2 linked regions of the Struthio camelus genome follow. The protein of the gene in region 2 purifies or fractionates together with the protein of the main gene of each other region. This does not show direct contact. Links are inferred from orthologs where the notes say so. Each region holds a gene or a part of one and is shown on either strand. Other genes may lie near its edges.

Evidence for each region.
Region 1: the proteins of CCNB2 (region 2) and PKMYT1 purify together in Homo sapiens (affinity purification with mass spectrometry; 4 studies listed by BioGRID and IntAct, with this or other methods). This does not show direct contact. The link is inferred for Struthio camelus from reciprocal best matches to the Homo sapiens genes CCNB2 and PKMYT1.

Annotation. Positions count from the first base shown.
Region 1 is NC_090973.1:804,917-815,610, reverse strand, and holds the start of PKMYT1 (membrane-associated tyrosine- and threonine-specific cdc2-inhibitory kinase), read right to left. Parts: upstream 4,502-10,694; coding exon 4,310-4,501; intron 3,056-4,309; coding exon 2,945-3,055; intron 1-2,944. Other genes in the region: serine protease 33-like, read right to left, coding at 7,649-7,894, 9,101-9,270. UniProt on the Homo sapiens protein: Acts as a negative regulator of entry into mitosis (G2 to M transition) by phosphorylation of the CDK1 kinase specifically when CDK1 is complexed to cyclins. Mediates phosphorylation of CDK1 predominantly on 'Thr-14'. Also involved in Golgi fragmentation.
Region 2 is NC_090953.1:17,503,051-17,512,901, forward strand, and holds the start of CCNB2 (G2/mitotic-specific cyclin-B2), read left to right. Parts: upstream 1-5,935; 5' UTR 5,936-6,172; coding exon 6,173-6,196; intron 6,197-6,922; coding exon 6,923-7,051; intron 7,052-7,131; coding exon 7,132-7,257; intron 7,258-7,672; coding exon 7,673-7,843; intron 7,844-7,924; coding exon 7,925-8,083; intron 8,084-8,411; coding exon 8,412-8,648; intron 8,649-9,422; coding exon 9,423-9,563; intron 9,564-9,851. Other genes in the region: RNF111 (E3 ubiquitin-protein ligase Arkadia), read left to right, coding at 1,037-1,164, 1,949-2,066. UniProt on the Homo sapiens protein: Essential for the control of the cell cycle at the G2/M (mitosis) transition.

The sequences.
Region 1 (10,694 bases), on a different chromosome or scaffold from region 2:
TGGTGGTCCCTCATAGACTTCCCCAAAGGACCCCAACCCCATGGTGATACCTTCTAGACCTCCCTGAAGAAGCCCGACCCCATGGTGGTCCCTCATAGACCTCCCCAAAGGACCCCCAACTCTGTCCCGGTCCCTTATAGACCTCCCCAAAGGACTCCAACCCCATGGTGGTACCTTCTAGACCTCCCTCAAGGACCCCCAACCCCATAGTGGTTCCTTCTAGACCTCCCCCAAGGACCCCCAACCCCATGGTGGTCCCTCATAGACCTCCCCAAAGGACCCCCAACCCTGTTCCGGTCCCTTATAGAGTTCCCCGAAGGACTCCAACCCCATGGTGGTACCTTCTAGACCTCCCCCAAGAATCCTGACCCCGTATAGAGTACATCCTATAGATGGTTCCCTATAGACGGTACCTTGCAGGTCTCACCACAGGAGCTGGACCCCATCCTACAGGCCCCACTCTACAGCCAAGGCGCCATTGACCGTCCCCTATGGGCGGCACCTTATAGACAGCGCCCTATAGGGTCTCCCCCATAGGGGGCTGCCCTATAGGTGGTACCTTATGGACTTCACGGTGGGAACCAGACCCCCGTCCCAGCCCTGTACAGACCCTGCCCTACACCCAGGACCCCTAGAGACCATCACCTATAAGTGACATTGTATAGACAGCACCCTATAGGGTCTCCCCTATAGGGGGCTGCCCTATAGGGAGCACCTAATAGACCTCACGGTGGGAGCCAGACCCCGTCCCAGCCCTGTACAGACCCTGCCCTACACCCAAGGCCCCCAGAGACCGTCACCTATAGGTGACACCATATAGACAGCGCCCTATAGGGTCTCCCCCATAGGGGGCTGCCCTATAGGTGGTACCTTATGGACTTCCCGGTGGGAGCCGGACCCCTGTTTCAGCCCTATATAGACCCTGCCCTACACCCAAGGCCCCCAGAGACCATCACCTATAAGTGACATCGTATAGACAGCACCCTATAGGGTTTCTCCTATAGGGGGCTGCCCTATAGGGAGCACCTAATAGACCTCACGGTGGGAGCCAGACCCCGTCCCAGCCCTGTACAGACCCTGCCCTACACCCAAGGCCCCCAGAGACCATCACCTATAGGTGACATCATATAGACAGCACCCTATAGGGTCTCCCCTATAGGGGGCTGCCCTATAGGGAGCACCTAATAGACCTCACGGTGGGAGCCAGACCCCGTCCCAGCCCTATATAGACCCTGCCCTACACCCAAGGCCCCCAGAGACCGTCACCTATAGGTGACATTGTATAGACAGCACCCTATAGGGTCTCCCCTATAGGGGGCTGCCCTATAGGGAGCACCTTATAGACCTCACGGTGGGAGCCGGACCCCCGTCCCACTCCTGTATAGACCCTGCCCTACATCCAAGGCCCCCATAGACTGTCACCTATGGGTGATACCATATAGAAAGTGCCCTACAGAGGGTCTCCCCTATAGGGGGCTGCCCCATAGGGGGCTGCCCTATAGGGAGCACCTTATAGACCTCACGGTGGGAGCCAGACCCCGTCCCAGCCCTGTACAGACCCTGCCCTACACCCAAGGCCCCCAGAGACCGTCACCTATAGGTGACACCATATAGACAGCGCCCTATAGGGTCTCCCCCATAGGGGGCTGCCCTATAGGTGGTACCTTATGGACTTCACGGTGGGAACCAGACCCCCGTCCCAGCCCTGTACAGACCCTGCCCTACACCCAGGACCCCTAGAGACCATCACCTATAAGTGACATCGTATAGACAGCACCCTATAGGGTCTCCCCTATAGGGGGCTGCCCTATAGGGAGCACCTTATAGACCTCACGGTGGGAGCCGGACCCCCATCCCACTCCTGTATAGACCCTGCCCTACATCCAAGGCCCCCATAGACTGTCACCTATGGGTGATACCATATAGAAAGTGCCCTACAGAGGGTCTCCCCTATAGGGGGCTGCCCTATAGGGAGCACCTAATAGACCTCACGGTGGGAGCCAGACCCCGTCCCAGCCCTGTACAGACCCTGCCCTACACCCAAGGCCCCCAGAGACCGTCACCTATAGGTGACACCATATAGACAGCACCCTATAGGGTCTCCCCTATAGGGGGCTGCCCTATAGGGAGCACCTTATAGACCTCACGGTGGGAGCTGGACCCCCGTCCCACTCCTGTATAGACCCTGCCCTACATCCAAGGCCCCCATAGACTGTCACCTATGGGTGATACCATATAGAAAGTGCCCTACAGAGGGTCTCCCCTATAGGGGGCTGCCCCATAGGGGGCTGCCCTATAGGGAGCACCTAATAGACCTCACGGTGGGAGCCAGACCCCGTCCCAGCCCTGTACAGACCCTGCCCTACACCCAAGGCCCCCAGAGACCATCACCTATAGGTGACATCATATAGACAGCACCCTATAGGGTCTCCCCTATAGGGGGCTGCCCTATAGGGAGCACCTTATAGACCTCACGGTGGGAGCCGGACCCCCGTCCCAGCCCTGTACAGACCCTGCCCTACATCCAAGGCCCCCATAGACTGTCACCTATGGGTGATACCATATAGAAAGTGCCCTACAGAGGGTCTCCCCTATAGGGGGCTGCCCCATAGGGAGCACCTTATAGACCTCACGGTGGGAGCCAGACCCCGTCCCAGCCCTGTACAGACCCTGCCCTACACCCAAGGCCCCCAGAGACCGTCACCTATAGGTGACACCATATAGACAGCGCCCTATAGGGTCTCCCCCATAGGGGGCTGCCCTATAGGTGGTACCTTATGGACTTCCCGGTGGGAGCCAGACCCCGTCCCAGCCCTGTACAGACCCTGCCCTACACCCAGGACCCCCATAGACCGTCACCTATGGGTGATACCATACAGGCAGCGCCCTATAGGAGCTCCCCTATAGGGGGCTGCCCCATAGGGGGCTGCCCCATAGGCGGTACCTTATAGACCTCGCCGTGGGAGCCGCGGCCCAGGCGGCCCAGCACCTGGAAGCACTGCCGGAAGAAGGTCTGGGGGCGCCGGGGGTCGTACAGGCGGCTGGCGAGGGTAGGCTGAGAGGGCGTCAGGCGGAAGGTGACGCTGCGGGGGCCGGGGCTCCAAGGGGGCGGGGGGCGGGACCCCGTCAAGCGACTCCACCCCCCGGGGCCCCGGCGTCCGGGCCTGGGAGTGCGGGGGGAAGTGTGGGGCCGGGTGGGCAGCATGGTGTTTGGGTGGGTGGGGGGGGGGTGCTGTGTTGGGGGGGGAAAAGGGGGGGTTAAAGGGGGGCTGCTGCCCCATAGAGGCTTGGGGGGGGGGCGGCTGTGGGGCAGGAGCGGAGCCCCCCTCCATGGCGGCGGGGGGGTCTTCCTGCCCCACGGCTCCCCCCAGCCCCCTCCTGCCCCATAACCGCCCTCCCAGACCCCCTCCTGCCCCACAACCCCCCCAGACCCCCTCCTGCCCCATAACTCCCCCTCCAGAGCCCCTCCGCCCCCTCCTGCCCCACAACCCCCTTCCCAGACCCCCTCCTGCCCCACAACCCCCCCAGCCCCCTCCTGCCCCATAACCCCCCTCCCAGACCCCCTCCTGCCCCATAACCCCCCCAGACCCCCTCCTGCCCCATAACTCCCCCTCCAGAGCCCCTCCGCCCCCTCCTGCCCCACAACCCCCTTCCCAGACCCCCTCCTGCCCCACAACCCCCCTCCCACAGCCCCCTCCTGCCCCATAACCCCCCCAGGCCCCCTCCTGCCCCACAACCCCCCTCCTAGACCCCCTCCTGCCCCATAACCCCCCTCCCAGCCCCCCTCCTGCCCCATAACCCCCCTCCCAGCCCCTCTCCTGCCCCACAACCCCCCTCCCAGCCCCCCTCCTGCCCCATAACCCCCCTCCCAGCCCCTCTCCTGCCCCATAACCCCTCCCAGCCCCCCTCCTGCCCCACAACCCCCCTCCCAGCCCCCCTCCTGCCCCACAACCCCCCTCCTAGACCCCCTCCTGCCCCATAACCCCCCTCCCAGCCCTCCTCCTGCCCCATAACCCCCCTCCTAGACCCCCTCCTGCCCCACAACCCCCCTCCCAGCCCCCCTCCTGCCCCATAACCCCCCTCCCAGCCCCCCTCCTGCCCCATAACCCCCCTCCTAGACCCCCTCCTGCCCCACAACCCCCCTCCCGGCCCCCCTCCTGCCCCATAACCCCCCCCCTCCTGCCCCATAACCCCCCTCCCAGCCCCCCTCCTGCCCCACAACCCCCCCTCCCAGACCCCCTCCTGCCCCATAACCCCCCTCCCAGCCCCCCTCCTGCCCCACAACCCCCCCCCACAGCCCCCCAAGTACCGGCCGCTCCGCTCCGCTCCCTGTGGGGAGGGGGGAGGAGGAGGGGGCGGGGCCGAGCCGCTTCCCGCCAACGGCTCCCGCCAACGGCCGCGCCCCGCCCCGCCCCTCCCCCGGCGGCCCCGCCCCTCCGCCGGCGGCCAGCCAATCCCCGCGCTCCCCCTCCCGCCCCGCCCCCCCCGGGTCCGCCTCCATCCCAGAGCCCCCCGCGGCCGCCCCGCCCCTCCCCCCCCCCGGCCGGGTTAATTGATTTTATTTCTTTCCTCTTTTTTTTTTTTCCCCCGTTTCTTTATTTTTTTCACCCGGGTTTTTTTTTTATCCCCCCCCCACACACACACACACCCGGGGGGGGGGGCGGTTGGGGGGGGGGGACACGGGGGGAGCCACAACTCTCCCCCGGGATCCCCCAGGCCCAAACTCGGCCCTTTTCACCCCAAAACGGCCACCCGCCCCCCCCCTCACCCCGAGGACCCCCCCCATAGAGGTTGTGGGGGGGTACCAAGGGGGGGTTTGGGGGGTGGTCCCACAGGTCCCCATATGGCTTTTGGGGGGGGGGTCACACAGGGAGGTTTTGGGGTCCCCATAGGGCTTTGGGGTCCCTACACGGGGGGGTTGGGGGTCCCACGGGGGGGTTTTGGGGTCCCACAGGAGGGTTTTGGGGTCCCCATAGGGCTTTGGGGTCCCACGGGGGGGGTTGGGGATTCCACGGGGGGGTTTTGGGGTCCTACAGGAGGGTTTTGGGGTCCCCATAGGGCTTTTGGGGTCCCACAGGGGGGTTTTGGGGTCCCACGGGGGGGTTTTGGGGTCCTACAGGAGGGTTTTGGGGTCCCCATAGGGCTTTGGGGTCCCTACACGGGGGGGTTGGGGTCCCACGGGGGGGTTTTGGGGTCCTACAGGACGGTTTTGGGGTCCCCATAGGGCTTTTGGGGTCCCACAGGGGGGTTTTGGGGTCCCACGGGTGGGTTTTGGGGTCCTACAGGAGGGTTTTGGGGTCCCCATAGGGCTTTGGGGTCCCCCAAATGGTTTGGGGGGTCCCACAGGAGAGTTTTGGGGTCCCCATAGGGCTTTGGGGTCACTACACGGGGGGGTTGGGGGTCCCACGGGGGGTTTTGGGGTCCTACAGGACTGTTTTGGGGTCCCCATAGGGCTTTGGGGTCCCCCAAATGGTTTGGGGGGGTCCCACAGGAGGGTTTTGGGGTCCCCATAGGGCTTTGGGGTCCCTACACGGGGGGTTGGGGTCCTACAGGAGGGTTTGGGGGTCTCCATAGGGCTTTGGGGCCCCCCCAAATGGTTTGGAGGTTCCATGGGGGGGTTGGGGGTCCCACAGGGAAGTTTTGGGGTCCTACAGGAGGGTTTTGGGGTCCCCATAGGACTTTGGGGCCCCCCAAATGGTTTGGGGGTCCCAATAGGGGATTTTTGGGGTCCCCATAGGACTTTGGACCCCCCCAGATGGTCTGGGGGGGTCCCATGATGGTGGGTTGGGGTCCCACAGGAGGGTTTTGGGGTCCCCATAAGGTTTTGGGGTCCCTACAGGGTGGTTTTGGGTTCCTACAGGAGGGTTTGGGGGTCCCCATAGGACTTTGGACCCCCCAGATGGTCTGGGGGGTCCCATGATGGGGGGTTGGGGTCCCACAGGAGGGTTTTGGGGTCCCCATAAGGTTTTGGGGTCCCTACAGGGTGGTTTTGGGTTCCTACAGGAGGGTTTGGGGGTCCCCACAGGACTTTGAGGCCCCACCAAATGGTTTGGGGGTCCCACAGGAGGGTTTTGGGGTCCCCATAAGGTTTTGGGGTCCCTACAGGGGAGTTTTGGGTTCCTACAGGAGGGTTTGGGGGTCCCCATAGGACTTTGGGCCCCACCAAATGGTTTGGGGGTCCCACAGGAGGGTTTTGGGGTCCCCATAAGGTTTTGGGGTCCCTACAGGGTGGTTTTGGGTTCCTACAGGAGGGTTTGGGGGTCCCCATAGGACTTTGGGGCCCCACCAAATGGTTTGGGGGTCCCACAGGAGGGTTTTGGGGTCCCCATAAGGTTTTGGGGTCCCTACAGGGGGGTTTTGGTGTCCTACAGGAAGGTTTTGGGGTCTCCATAGGGCTTTGGGGCCCCCCCAAATGGTTTGGGGGTTCCATGGGGGAGGTTGGGGGTCCCACAGGGAAGTTTTGGGGTCCTACAGGAGGGTTTTGGGGTCCCCATAGGGCTTTGGGACCCCCCATATGGTTCTGGGGTCCTATGGGGGGGGTTGGGGTCCCCATGGGGCTTTGAAGCCCTCTAGATGCTTTTGGGGTCCCACGGGGGGGGTTGGGATCTCCATAGGGCTTTGGGATCCCCTCCAGATGGTTTTGGGGGTCCCCTATAGGGTTTTTGGAATCCCCACAGGGTTTTGGGGCCCCCGGATGGTTTTGGGGTCCCATAGGGGAGTTTTGGGGTCCCCATGGGGTTTTGGGGTCCCACAGGGCTGTTTGGGGTCCCACGGAAGGGTTTTGGAGACCCACAGGGGAGTTTCGGGGCCCCCATAGTGCTTTGGGGTCCCTCAGGTTGTTTTGGGGTCCTCCATAGGGATTTTGGGGTCCTCATAGGGTTTTGGGACCCCCAGATGGTTTTGGGGTCCCACAGGGGGGGTTGGGGATCTCCATAGGACTTTAGGGTCACCCAGATGGTTTTAGGGTCCCCCACAGGAGATTTGGGGTCCCCATAGGGCTTTGAGGCCCCCTCCAATATGGTTTTGAGATCCCCATAAGGCTTTGAACCCCCTCGAGATAGTTTTGGGGTCCCACAGGGAGGTTTTGGGGTCCCCATAGGTGTTTTGGGATCTCCATAAGGCTTCGGACCCCCTCGAGATAGTTTTGGGGTCCCACAGGGAGGTTTTGGGGTCCCCATAGGTGTTTTGGGGTCCCCATAAGTCTTTGGGGCCCCCCAAGATGGTTTTGAGGTCCCACAGGGAGGTTTTGGGGTCCCCGTAAGAGTTTTGGGGACCCCATAGGGCTTTGAGCCCCCCTGAGATGTTTTGGCGATCCCCTAGGGGTGTTTCGAGGTCCTCCATAGGAGGACCTTGTCTCCAAGGGCAACGAGGAGCAGGCGGGGGAGAGCAGTGCCCTCGGCGGCAGTACCCTCGGCGGCGGTACCATCGGCGGTGACTGTACCAGTACCACCGGCGGCACCATCGGGCCGAGGAGGAGCAGGAGGCCACCAGCAGCAGCGTTGGTGGCAGCGGTACCACCAGTGGGCACCGTTGGAGGCTGTAGCAGTACCGCCGCCGGCGGCTGTAGCAGTACCACCGGCGGCACCGCCCAAGAGAGGTGACGAGGAGGAACAAGAGGCTGAGGGCGGCGACGGCGCTACAGCCGCCGTCAGGGGCCGGCGAGGGCCAGGAGGAGCAGGAGGGCGACGGGGGTACAGGCGGCGGTACAGGCGGCGGCACCGGCGGTGACCAAGGGCAGGTCGGGGACGCGGCGGGCGATCCAGGGGGTGTAGGCGCTGACGCGGGTGTAGACGCCCGGGCGGTTGGGCACGGCGCAGCCCTCGCCCCAGCTGACGATGCCGGTCAGCACCCAGCGGCCACCGGCCCGGCACACCAGCGGGCCACCGGAGTCACCCTGCCACGTGGGTTTGGGGGGGGACATGACGTCACGGGGGATGTGGGGGGGGGTCTATAGGGTTGGGGGGGGTCGGGGCGAGGGCACAACGGGGGGTGGCTGTGTCCCCGTGGGGGCAGCCGGGACGTGGGCTGTCTCACTTAGGTGTCCCACCATGTCCCTCCATGTCCTCCAGGTCCCTCCACGTCCCCCCATGACCCCCATGTTCCTCCATGTCCCCCCGTGTCCCTCCACGTCCCCCCATGACCCCCATGTCCTCCTTGTCCCTCATGTTGTCCATGTCCCTCCATGTCCCCCCACATCCTCCATGTCCTCCTTGTCCCTCCATGTCCCTCCATGTCCATCAGTCCTCCATGTGCCTCCATGTTCCCCATGTTCTCTATGTCCCCCCGTGTCCCTCCATGTGTACTCCTTGTCCCTCATGTTCTTCATGTCCCTCCCTGTCCCCCACGTCCCTCCATGTCCCCCCACATCCTCCCATGTCCCTCCATGTCCCTCATATCCTCCATGTCCCTCATGTTCTCCACGTTCTCCATGTCCCCCCATGTCCCTCCACGTCCCCCCATGTCCCCCATGTCCCTCCATGTTCTCCATGTCCCTCCACGTCCCCCCATGTCCCCCATGTCCCTCCATGTCCCCCATGTCCTCCTTCTCCGTCCATGTCCCTCCATGTCCCTCCATGTCCCTCCATGTCCCCCATATCCTCCATGTCCCTCATGTTCTCCACGTTCTCCATGTCCCCCCATGTCCCTCCACGTCCCCCCATGTCCCCCATGTCCCTCCATGTTCTCCATGTCCCCCCATGTCCCTCCACGTCCCCCCATGTCCCCCATGTCCCTCCATGTCCCTCCATGTCCCCCATATCCTCCATGTCCCTCATGTTCTCCATGTTCTCCATGTCCCTCCATGTCCCTCATGTCCCCCATCTCCCCCATGTCCCCCCATGTCCCCCATATCCTCCTTCTCCATCCATGTCCCCCCGTGTCCCCCCATGTCCCTCCATGTCCCTCTGTCCTCCCTGTTCCTCCATGTCCCTCTGTCCTCCATGTTCCCCCATGTCCCTCCATGTCCCTCCATGTCCCTCCATGTCCCTCATGTTCTCCATGTCCCCCACATCCCTCCATGTCCCCCTCCCCATGTTCCCCCCCATCCCACGTCCCCCCCATCCCCATGTCCCCCCCGTCCCCTCCGCGTGCCCGTCCCCACCTTGCAGGTGTCCTTGAGGCCCTCGGGGTACCCGGCGCACATCATGTCGTCCTGGATGCGCCGCGGCGGCAGCCCCCGGCCCATGTCGATGCCGTAGAGGCGCCGGCAGGTGGCCTGCGCCATGATGGGCACCTCCAGCTTCTGCAGCCGCCGCGGCGACGGCAGGTCCTCTGCGGGCACCCAAAGGGGCAGGTGGCACCCGGCTCCTCCGCCAGGCCCCCCGCCACCCCCATCCCTTCAGCCACCATTAGGTCACCACAGCCACCGCTGCGTCCCCACAACCTCCATTGGGTCCTCCTGACCCCCCCCCACCTTGGCCACTGTTGGGTCCTCTTGGCCACCTTTGGGTCTCCTTGGCCACTGTTGAGTCCCCACCACCCCCATTGGGTCCCCTTGGCCACCACTGAGTTCGCCGACAACCCCCATTAGGTTCCCACGACCCCCGTTGGGTCTCCTTGGCCACTGCTGGGTCTCCACCACCACCACTGGGTCCTCTTGGCTATTGCTGGGTCCCCACAACCCTGTTGGGTCCCTTTGGCCATCGTTGGGTCCCCTCAGCCCTCATTGGGTCCCCTCGGCTCCCATTGGGTCCCCACAACCCCATTGGGTCCCATTGTCCACCATTTGGTCCCAGTGGCCCCTGTTGGGTCCCCGTTGGGTCCCTATGACCCCCGTTGGGTCCCCTTGGCCATCGTTGGGTCCCCTTGGTCACCATTGGGTTCCTATGACTCCTGTTGGGTCCCCTCAGCCACCATTGGGTCTCCATATGCACTGTTGGGTCCCACTGATCCCCCTTGTCCACTGTTTGGTCCCAATGAACCCACTGGGTCCCCTTGACCACCATTGGGTTCCCATGATTCCCGTTGGATCCCCTTGGTCACCATTGAGTCCCCTTGGCCTCCGTTGATCCTCCTTGGCCACCGTTTGGTCCCAGTGACCCCCCCCACTGGGTCCCCTTGGTTACCATTGGCTCCCCATCAGCTTCACTGGGTCCCCACAATCCCCATTGGGTCCCCTTGGCCACCACTGGGTCCCCTCCGCTTCCACTGGATCCCCACCACCCCCACAGGGTCCCCTCAGCCACCACTGGGTCTCCTCAATCCCTGTTGGGAACCGTTAATCCTCCTTGCCCGCTGCTTGGTCCCAAAGACCCCCCCACACTGGGTTCCTTTGGCCACCATTGGGTCCCCTTGGCCACCATTGGGTCCCCATCACCCCTGTTGGGTCCCCTTGGCCCCCATTGGTTCTCCATAACCACTATTGGGTCTACTTGGCCTCTGATGATCCCCTTGGCCACTGTTTGGTCCCAGTGACCCCTGTTGGATCCCCTTGGCCACCGTTGGCTCCCTACCACCCCCATTGGGTCCCCTCAGCCACCATTTGGTCTCCATACCCACTGTTGGATCCCGTTGATCCCCCTAGGCCACCATTGGGTCCCCTCAATCCCTGCTTTGTCCCCTTGGCCTCCGTTGGATCCCCATCACCCCTCATTGGGTCCTCTTGGCCCCCGTTGGGTCCCCTTGGCCTCCATTGGATTCCCATCACCCCCCGTTGGGTCCTTTTGGCCACCATGGGGTCCCCATCAGCTCCGTGA
Region 2 (9,851 bases):
CGTTCCTTTCAGTTATCGGCTGATAAAATTTCCTGTGCTTCCGAGATGTGTATTTTGCATTAGAAACTTTATTTGGTATCTTGGGTGAGGGGGAGGAAGAGTGGGATGAGTATAGATGCGGGGGGAATGGGAGAACAGAAGCTTTCAAGGTAGCTTCTTCAGTATACAGAAAAGTTAAATAGTTAAGGATGGAAACATACATCCCCTCTTGAATGCCTCTTTTTTGGTAAGAGGAAATGTGACTTTGGATTTTGTTTCTTCCCCTATCCCAGTAGTGGTGGTCAGCTGCTATCTTCAGCTGCGTTGTTTAATAACTTCTCCATCTATTATGAATAGTCTTGTCTTTTGTTGGGTTTATTTTTTTGGTCTTTTTTTTTTTTTCTCCTTCCCCTTACTGCTAAAATGAAGAACAATGAAATAATTATTGGTAATAGTTAACACTGAAGCCTGCTGGCAATTTAATTCATCAAATAAAGTAAGGGTGTTTTTTTAAGTTAAGGGTTGTAATAAATTATGACACACACTTGGTGTATATCATTTTTTCCTTCAGTGTGATCGCATTTTGAAGACTTAAAAGTTTTGTACTTGGAACAGCATTTTGGCAACTCAAGTTGTCTCTCATTTTCAGTTTATTATACCATAATACAGGACTCTATCCACATAAGTGTTCTTTTATTATCTGATAGTGATTTAAGATACTAGGTTTGAATAGGAATATTTTTGGCCTCTTCATGAATGAAATTAAGATATTTTCATCTAGACAATAAATGAAAGAACTAGTTGTAAGACTACAAAATTACTATATATTCACAGTCCAGTAGGCTGTTTTGTAATTCAGCCAAGAGTTAAGCAAGCCTGAAATGCCAGGTGTTTTTGCTCCAAGTGCTAGTTCTTGGTTCAGTTTAGTTCAAACGCATTTGAATAAGTACTACTCAAAATGTGAAGTCATTTATCAAATGTTTTCAAAGTATATGTTGAATATGTATTAAAAACAGATTTTGCTCAGTTTGTCAATAATGTCATCTCTACTAATAAGGTAACAACTGATTGGTTCTCACAGAGGAAACTGCACTGCAAACAAGATGGGGAGGAGGGAACAGAAGAAGACACAGAGGAAAAGTGTACCATCTGTTTGTCTATATTAGAGGAAGGTGAAGATGTCAGGTAAATAGTACCATTGAATATCAAAATATAATGCAAATGCTCTGGCTTTGAGACCATATTTTGTTATGGTACACTACTCTTTGCAACACTCCCTAGGTTAACAGCTGCAGTTATTAACATTATTTGTCATTGTAACCAATAAATAAAACAAATAGTGATGGTATTGGAGGAGCTCTTGAGGAGCCATTATTGCACAGGTTTCATAATCTTCCCTCCAACTATGGTTAAAGGTGTTTTTAATTAAAAATACTCATTGTTCCGTCTGCATTGTCTTTGGGAGAACGTAGGTTCTCTTATGATCTTCCTAAGTTGACTGTTTGTCTCATGATACAAGCCCAAACTGATACCTTTTTAAAATATATTAGAGAACATGCTACTCATTCTTTATTTAAATCGTATAGTGCTGTGTGCCTTGGCATCTCGGGTAACGAATCAGGTGTATTCTAGTGTGTCAAATTTAAGTTTTCTGGAATAATGCTACTTAAACTGTAACAGATTTTAAATCAGTGTAGCAGTAGAATTGGGCAGCTTTGTATGGGATAGTTGTTTCTAACTTACCTGATGCTTCATTTCATTGCCTATATCCATTTCTTCTTAGCACTAAAAAGAAGTTCAACAGTTTGAAAGGTTAGTGAAGCGGGGGGGCACGGTGCAGAAACACCCAAGAAGAGGGTGCAAGAAGAGTAGACACCTCAATGGCAAAATCCACACTACCATTTTTCCAATGGGTATGTTGATATGCACATGTTTTATTAACACAAATATTTTTCTGTTCTGATGACAGGCGCCTTCCATGTATGCACCTTTTCCACCAAGTATGCGTAGATCAGTGGTTGATTACTAACAAGAAGTGCCCCATTTGCAGAGTGGACATTGAGGCTCAACTGCCTAGTGAAAGTTGACACCGTTTTCCAGAACTCTTGTCCTCCCTCTCACTCCCTTTCATCCTTCCTGGTACTGCAGTCAACCAAAGATGGCATGACTTACCTGCGCAGATTTGGAAGCATTGAACCTAGAGTGCTGGCTCTGCTATATGGTACAACTAATGCTAGACCTACAGTTCGTGTAGACAGTTGAGTTTCAGTGTATTTATAAAACCTCTTTTTTGTTGTTTAGGTTTTACATTTTTTTCTTTTAATTCATTACTGTATTTTTGCATGGTTCCTTGTATTGCATTTGTTTGCACATATTATGGGCTTTGTGACCCCAGACTTGCAGGCAAGACTAGCTGCTTTAGTAAGTAGAATTGTGTGGTCTCTTTTTTTTTTTTTTTTTTGGTTTGTTTTACATAGTATCAAGCTTTGAAAATATGATTTCACTCATTACTAACCTCGGGTTCCTTAATTTAATCAATCATGTATTTTAGTTTAATGTATAAAGATCATCTAGAAAAGGATAATATTATGTATTGAGACATTCCTTAATTAGGAAAAAATGGCTGCTGTATATTAACAATATCAATTCTGAGTCAAATACCATCATTAATACTGGGAACAGAATATGAACTATATTCAGTCTGACTGATACATATAGCATACTCATCACCAGAGTTTTGTCTGATCAGATTCTTGTGTTCGTTTTAAACTTTCAGCACAATGCAGATATATTTGAATGTCAATATTAAACATTTAGACTGCTGTTCGGATTGTATTTATCTTTTTCTTCCTATGTCTAGAAATTTGAATCCCTAACTTAATATTTGCTGCTGTGAAACAGCTCTAATGAACACTAAATGTTGATTTCAGTTAGCTGGATTTGTAGATACTTGCAGATTGAAAGAAATATTAGGGAAATGGAAGAACTTAGAATCTTTGTTTGGTCTTCTGCTAACTTAAGTTGAAGTATCTGCACACTTGTTTTGGGGTTTTTTTTTGGTTTTTGTTTTATAAAACCATTCAATCAGGACTTAGAGCTGCAGGGGTTTTTTTAGATGTTGTTTTCTGGGGGTGGGCTTGGGGAGGGAAGGGGCAGATATACACGCATTCATAGAACTTCTAAAGATCCCAGGGATCTTTAGAAGTTTAGAAGATCCCTTGGGATTTTTATTAGTTTTTAAGTTAATAAAATTAGCTAAATTCACCTGTCTCTTGTTTTATTTTTCATTAGTAAATTGAAAGCCTGTAAATTTCTGTAGAAACTGAGACACAAATTATGTGGTTATCTAGTTTTGCCTTGATCATAGATACCCTCTTTATAAATTACCAACAGTCCATCACTGATTGAAATATTTTCTATAGTTAAGATTTGCTGCATAATATAGTATATAGAATTAAGTTATAATGTACTAACATTTCGCCTTTGGAGGAAGTTTTAATGCACATCAGGACTCAAGTCGCTTATAAACATTCTTTCCACACATAATAGAGTATAGTTTATTTAAATGTGCTCAACAGATGCTGAAAACTGCAAAAACAGTGAGACAGTATTACTGTCGCTTTGGAAAAGATGTTCCTAGGGGATCATATATGAACATGTCAATAAGCTTGCATTAAGCCACCTGCTTTGTAAGTGGATTGAGTAATACCTTCAGTTTCTCTGGTCTTTGTCTTTCATAATCAGATAAATGTAAAACAGTTTACAGTAAACCTAGAAAATGAAATGTTATGTTTACACTAAAAAAAAAAAATCCATTTATAAATATGACCTTATCTAATTTGATGCCTGTTTTTTGTCTGGTTAAAGCTGCTTCCCTTTTTATTTTTTTAATCTGTTAGGAGTAGCATTTTCCAATGCAGTGTCTATTGCTGGCAACAGACTTACCACCTCTGGCACTGAGGCATTAAGTGGGGAGAAATTTTTATTCCAGCATGTGTGATGAGTGGACATTTTCAAGCTTAATTGCGTTGCTAAAACTGAACTTAAAAACCACTTTGTGTTTGTAAGATGGGGGATATGGGAGAGAGGCAAAATACGATTTGGCTGCTTCAAAACCTGACATGGTTTTATGCTAAAGCTTCTTGAACATGATGGCGGTAGGAAACTGAAAGTGGGTATGAAATTAAATCTGCATTGGTAAAAATGAATAAAAATAACTGGAAGGACTGAACAACAGACACTTCCCATTCTTCAGTGAAATTGAAAAGGAGGGAAGTTAGTTTACCAGTGGTGCTTGAAGTCTGATGATATTCACTTCTTTTAAAGTTTCCAAGAAGGTACTTGTGAGACATGGGGTGGGGGGGGAAAAAAAAACACGGGGTCTGCAACATAATTGAGACCCTGGGTATGTGATGGAACCCGTTTTGGCTTCCTTACAGGACAAAGAAGCACAGGTTTTGGGGATATTTTTTTAGGAATTCTTTTATGCACCTGCTTTGGGTGCCTGGTACTAGAGGCATTTTAGTGGCCCATGAATTGAGTTGTTTAATAACTGCTACTGATATTGTCTTGCTTTTAAATGTATGCATTGTAATGTGATGTCAAACACTTAGGTATTTGCCAGGAATCACAGTGTTCTGGTCTTATATGCTATTGCAGGGGCTAATAAAGCTGCAGCCTACTTCTATTTCAGAAAGTTGTGACTTGACCATAATTTAAGGGAAAGAAAATGAATAGGCTTTTGATTTTGAAAATTTCCACCACTTACTGTGCTTTACATGCTTAGATGCATTGCCTTAAGTTTTTCTGCAGCATCTTTGAAGATAAGATTCTCAACAGTATGCATCAAATTACTTTTCATATAAAATTCCATTGTCAAAAGAAATCCTTTTGTATGCAATAAATAAAATGTTAGACTGGTATCATTCAAAATCTGTTTCTTATGCAAGTTTTTTCCTTTTGTTGTCTTCTGCTCTTATAACTCTTCATCTGAAAAAAATTCTGTCATGTATTCTTGCAGATACGGTCTAAGGAAAAATACCCTCAGTGAAGGATCAATATTTAGCTACAGATAAGTTGTTGATGTTTGGTATGCCATTTAACTGCAAGTCAGGAATTCAGGAAAACTGCTCTTATAAAGGCCATCAAAATACTAACTTGTGCACATGCGAGTAAATATAGAAGGCCACTTCTGGGAGACTGCAAAATAATCGTGCAGAATTTTACTTTTCTATCGGCTTAGGCTACTACTGTAGTATCAAGGACTTACAGAATCTCAGGATCAGGAGTCAGTTTGACTTTAATCTCTTTACAACAGCTACTTAGGAAGAGTTTATACAGACAAACTGAAACTCTGCGTCCTGCAAAGAGGAGCAGTGTTGATCTTTGCCCTACACGTGCGTTGGCGCCAGTACGGTGGCGTAAGTCTTCAGCACGTGCAAAATCTCCACCTTCAGTACTGGAGCTGCTGGGTCGTGTTCTTCAGTACGGCTGCCTTATAAAACGCCACCCCACTGAAAACGGGGACCATCCTTGCTAAACAGCAAGCGCGAATAGTTTAAGAGGGCATTTCAAAAGCAGACCTAAAATGAATAAAACCCTGGGCTGTTAGGGGAAGGCAAGGTAGAGAGGTGGCAGCAGCAGTTTAGCAGTCTAGAAGCATTGGGGCGGGGGGGGGAGGGTGATCGCGTCTAATTTTCAACTAGTTTAGCTGCAGCAGGAGAAGCCGGTCCCAGCGCCTCGGTTCAGCCCCTTGTTACCTGGGCGCTGCTCCTGCACCCGCTCGAAACCGAGCGGGCCGGGCGGGGGGCGGGTTGTTCGGTGCAGGGAGCGCGGCGGCCGCGGCTCCCGGCCCAGGCCGTCCGGAGCTCCGGGGGGGGGGGGCAGCTCCCGTGGGGCCCTGCGGCGCCGCCGCCCGCCCCCCCCCCTTTAAGAGGCCGGCCGGTACGGAAGTGGCGGAGCCGTTTCCTGTTTGGGGCGGGCCTGAGGAGCTGGGCCAATCAGGCGCGTGCATCGTACGAAGCTGCCCAATCGGGGCGCGGGCGGGGCGGCAAGCGGGGCGGCGGGCGGCACGAGGCGGCAGTCGGCGCTCGCGGCTGAGGGGAGCTGGAGCCGCCGCCTCCTCTTCTGCCTCCTCTCCTCGTCTTCCTCCTCCTCTCCTCTCTTCTTCCTCCTCTGCCTTCCCTGCGCGCCCATGGCGCTGCCGCGCCGCGCCGCCGTGAGTGCCGTGGGCATCGCGGCGCGGCCGGGCCCGGTGGCGGGACGTTGTGGGGGGGGGGGCGCTGTGAGGCCAGCGCGGGCCGGGCCGTGAGGGGGACGGCGGGGGGACCCTGCGCGCTGCCCCCGGCTCCCCCTGGCTCCCCCTCGAAACAAGGGGAGGGAGTGTGTAAGGAGGGTAGGAAATTCAGGGTATTTCACGGGAGAGTGCGGGAAGGGAAAAACAAGAGCTCCTTTTTTTAGAGTGACTTTTTGATGGTTTAAACTGAACCCACGAGAAACTCTGAAACCCAGTGGTTTCTTTACCATGCAATGTAAGGGATGGCTTACCTTTCTGTACATAAGACAATTACTGCTGTTTGTAGTAAATAATAAGAAGGAAATTGCTTGCCCCTCCCCCCCCCCATCTTCATGGAAATACCAATATAAAGTGGGTAAATAGAATAAGTAGCTATGTTACAGGTAAGCCCTCTAATGTGGACTTGAAATGTTGTGAGCAGGAAAGGAGATTTGGTGCTTATCTCCAATCATGCAGTACAGTTTCATAGTACTCTCCATAACCTACGCAGTCAAGACTTGACTTGTTATTTCTCTAAGCGCATACGAATGCGTAGGAAACAAAACTTGATTGAGTTGAGTCATGGATAGCATCTGTGGAGCATCTCAGCCACCTGAAAATGAAAAAAGGTTGGCCTCTGATTTCTAAGCTGTGATTTTATTCTTCTAGGTCCCTAGAGGGGTTGAGAATGCTGTGAATGAACCTAATCGTAAAGCTAAAACTCAAGTAACTGGCAGAAGGACTGCTTTGGAAGAAATAGGAAACAAAGTTTCAACACGAGGAACGCACATAGCTAAGGTACAGTAATATTTGAATCCTACTTGTAGGGAACAGATGAGTTATTAGTTTTATATTGATAGTCATTGTTTTCATTACAGAAAGCAGAACGCTTCAAAGCATCTACAAAACCTATAAAAGGGCCTAGTAAGATGACAAATATAATTGCACTGCCTAAACCTCCAGCTGTTGTGAATCAAGTATCCAAAGAAACAAGTGTTCCAAAGGTAGGAAGTAACGATGTTGTTCTGATTCTTAATTTCAGACCTATAACGCGGTGCTTTAGCCTCAGTTTATTTATAGAAGTATCCCATTCCCAAGACCTCGGTGCAGGGGCTTTGTTTTTTCAGCAGGTTTTAATGCACGTTCTGCTTAAAGGCTAATATTAAAGTGGCAGAATTAGCTATTGAAATATTGAACGAAACGTGAAAGCTTCTCCTTTAGCCGGCAATCGTCAGAAGGTCTACTCATTCTGTTTGTATGGCATCCTGATGAAAGCTTGCACAGCTAGCATACAAGCAATCTTTCAAATATTTATATAAGGAAGAAGTTGCATTAATAACTAAAAAAATGGGGGTGGGGGACAGAAGGGGCATTGTTGCCTAATCAGTAGATATGTAAGTGCTATAACCTGTTCCTTAGGTTCTGTCTCCGGTTCCTATGGATGTGTCTATGCAAGAAGAGGATTTGTGCCAAGCCTTCTCTGATGTATTGCTCAACAACGTAGAAGACATTGACGCTGAGGATTGGGAGAACCCGCAGCTTTGTAGTGACTATGTAAAAGATATCTATCTTTATCTGAGACAGCTTGAGGTAGGAATACCTACGCACTGATTCTGCAGCTTCTGCAGAATAGCGTTCATCTTGTTGCTCACACAGTTCTCTCACTAACAGCTGCAGCAATCGGTGCGCCCCCATTACCTCGATGGGAAGGCGATCAATGGGCGTATGCGTGCAATTTTAGTTGACTGGCTTGTCCAGGTCCACTCAAGATTCCAGCTTTTGCAGGAGACACTGTATATGTGTGTTGCAGTTATGGATCGCTTCTTACAAGTAAGTGTCTTTAAGAAGTTCTTCAACACCTGTTTGGGTTAGGGGAGTTGCTCAGTGACAATGGTCTTTAAAAGAATTGGGAATTTAGCCTTTTTTAATACCTGGAGATTGTGCTGTGTGATTGGGTAAGAGCTATTTAACATAACTTTGAGGCTGCTAGCCTCTTGGAGCCTGTCATTATAGGGACCCGTCTGACTTAAAGTGGAAAATTTCATGTACGTTCTAAGAATGAACTCTATCATACTGTCATTATAAACTAATAAATCAGAACCTGTTCATCTAGAGTTTGATGATTTGAGGTCTGCCTTTGTAAACCTCTGTGTTGCAGAGTCATCCAGTACCCCGTAAGAGGCTTCAGTTGGTGGGTGTAACAGCACTGCTTCTTGCTTCAAAATATGAAGAGATGTTCTCTCCTGATGTAGCAGACTTTGTTTACATTACTGACAATGCCTACACCAGTGAAGAAGTTAGAGAAATGGAGATCGTGATTCTCAAAGAGTTGAACTTTGATTTGGGACGTCCTCTTCCGCTTCACTTCCTAAGAAGAGCGTCAAAAGCTGCTGAGGTGGGTACTTGTCCATCCTCGTTATTTAGAACTTTTTTGTTTGCGTAAAGACAATCTGGATTGCTTCAGGCCTTTTTTATCATGTTGTCCGACTTTTCTTGTTCCAGTTTTTGAGCAGAAAGCAATGTTCAGCTATAAAATTCCACCATGTGGTGGCATGACTGTCAACGTCACTGCAATTTCCAGTAATTGTTCATGTGTCTTTACTGGGGCTTGTGTCCAATCTTAGTTGTAGTAATTTCACTGTTACAGTAAAACGAGTAGGTGATGAGTAGAAGATGAGTAGAGCACAACTGTAGCCTTTTGCCTGGTAATTAGGGTGTTCTTCAGTAAAAGGTTCCCTCAGCAGACTACTGGGCAGCTCTTGAAGTAAGCTGACTCCTTGGACTCCTTGGTAAGGAGCTACTTAACTAATTTTACACTCTTGTTGTTTGTTTCCTCCTTCCCCTTAATCTATTTTAGAGGAAGCATTTGTCTCCCAAGCTGGGCACAGCAGCGCCCAGTACAGGAGTTTCCTGTTAACATCTTTCATGCAACTCTTGAGTCTGCATTCCAAATGGATGCTAGGCTATGCTGGTCCTGACTCTGGGCTCAATTTTGACCTGAGGTAACTGTCCCATTAGGCAGTGTGATCCCTAGATGTTAATAAAGCTCTTGTTGACTGTTCTTGTTTTGCCAAGTTATTTGTCAGTTAATGGCTGGAATAAACAACCCTGGATCAGCTTGATAAAGTGAAGTAAAATGTTGTGAATTAACAAGCTCTTGATCTGATAGGCTGATGCTGAGCAACATACGCTAGCAAAATATCTAATGGAGCTGACTCTGGTGGATTATGACATGGTGCACCATCATCCTTCAGAGATTGCAGCTGCTGCATTATGCTTGTCACAAAAGATCCTAGGACATAACAAATGGGTAAGTGTTTTATTAAAACTACTGGAGCTGACTGTGTTTAGAGCAGTAATGATGCTGGTGATCAAATGATAGTTGGATGACCCGATTTACTGATGAAGGTAGACTAAGGAGTATACCGTAATAACAATCTGCAATATTATCTCTTTTTATGTGGGCACCCTTGCATAAAAGGATTTTTTCCTACAAAGGTATTGAGTTATCAGAGAAGGCCACACTGTAAATAACGCTTGATCTTTCTGCAGGCTGCAGTACAAAGTAGAATAATTAAATTATGGACTATGAACGGTG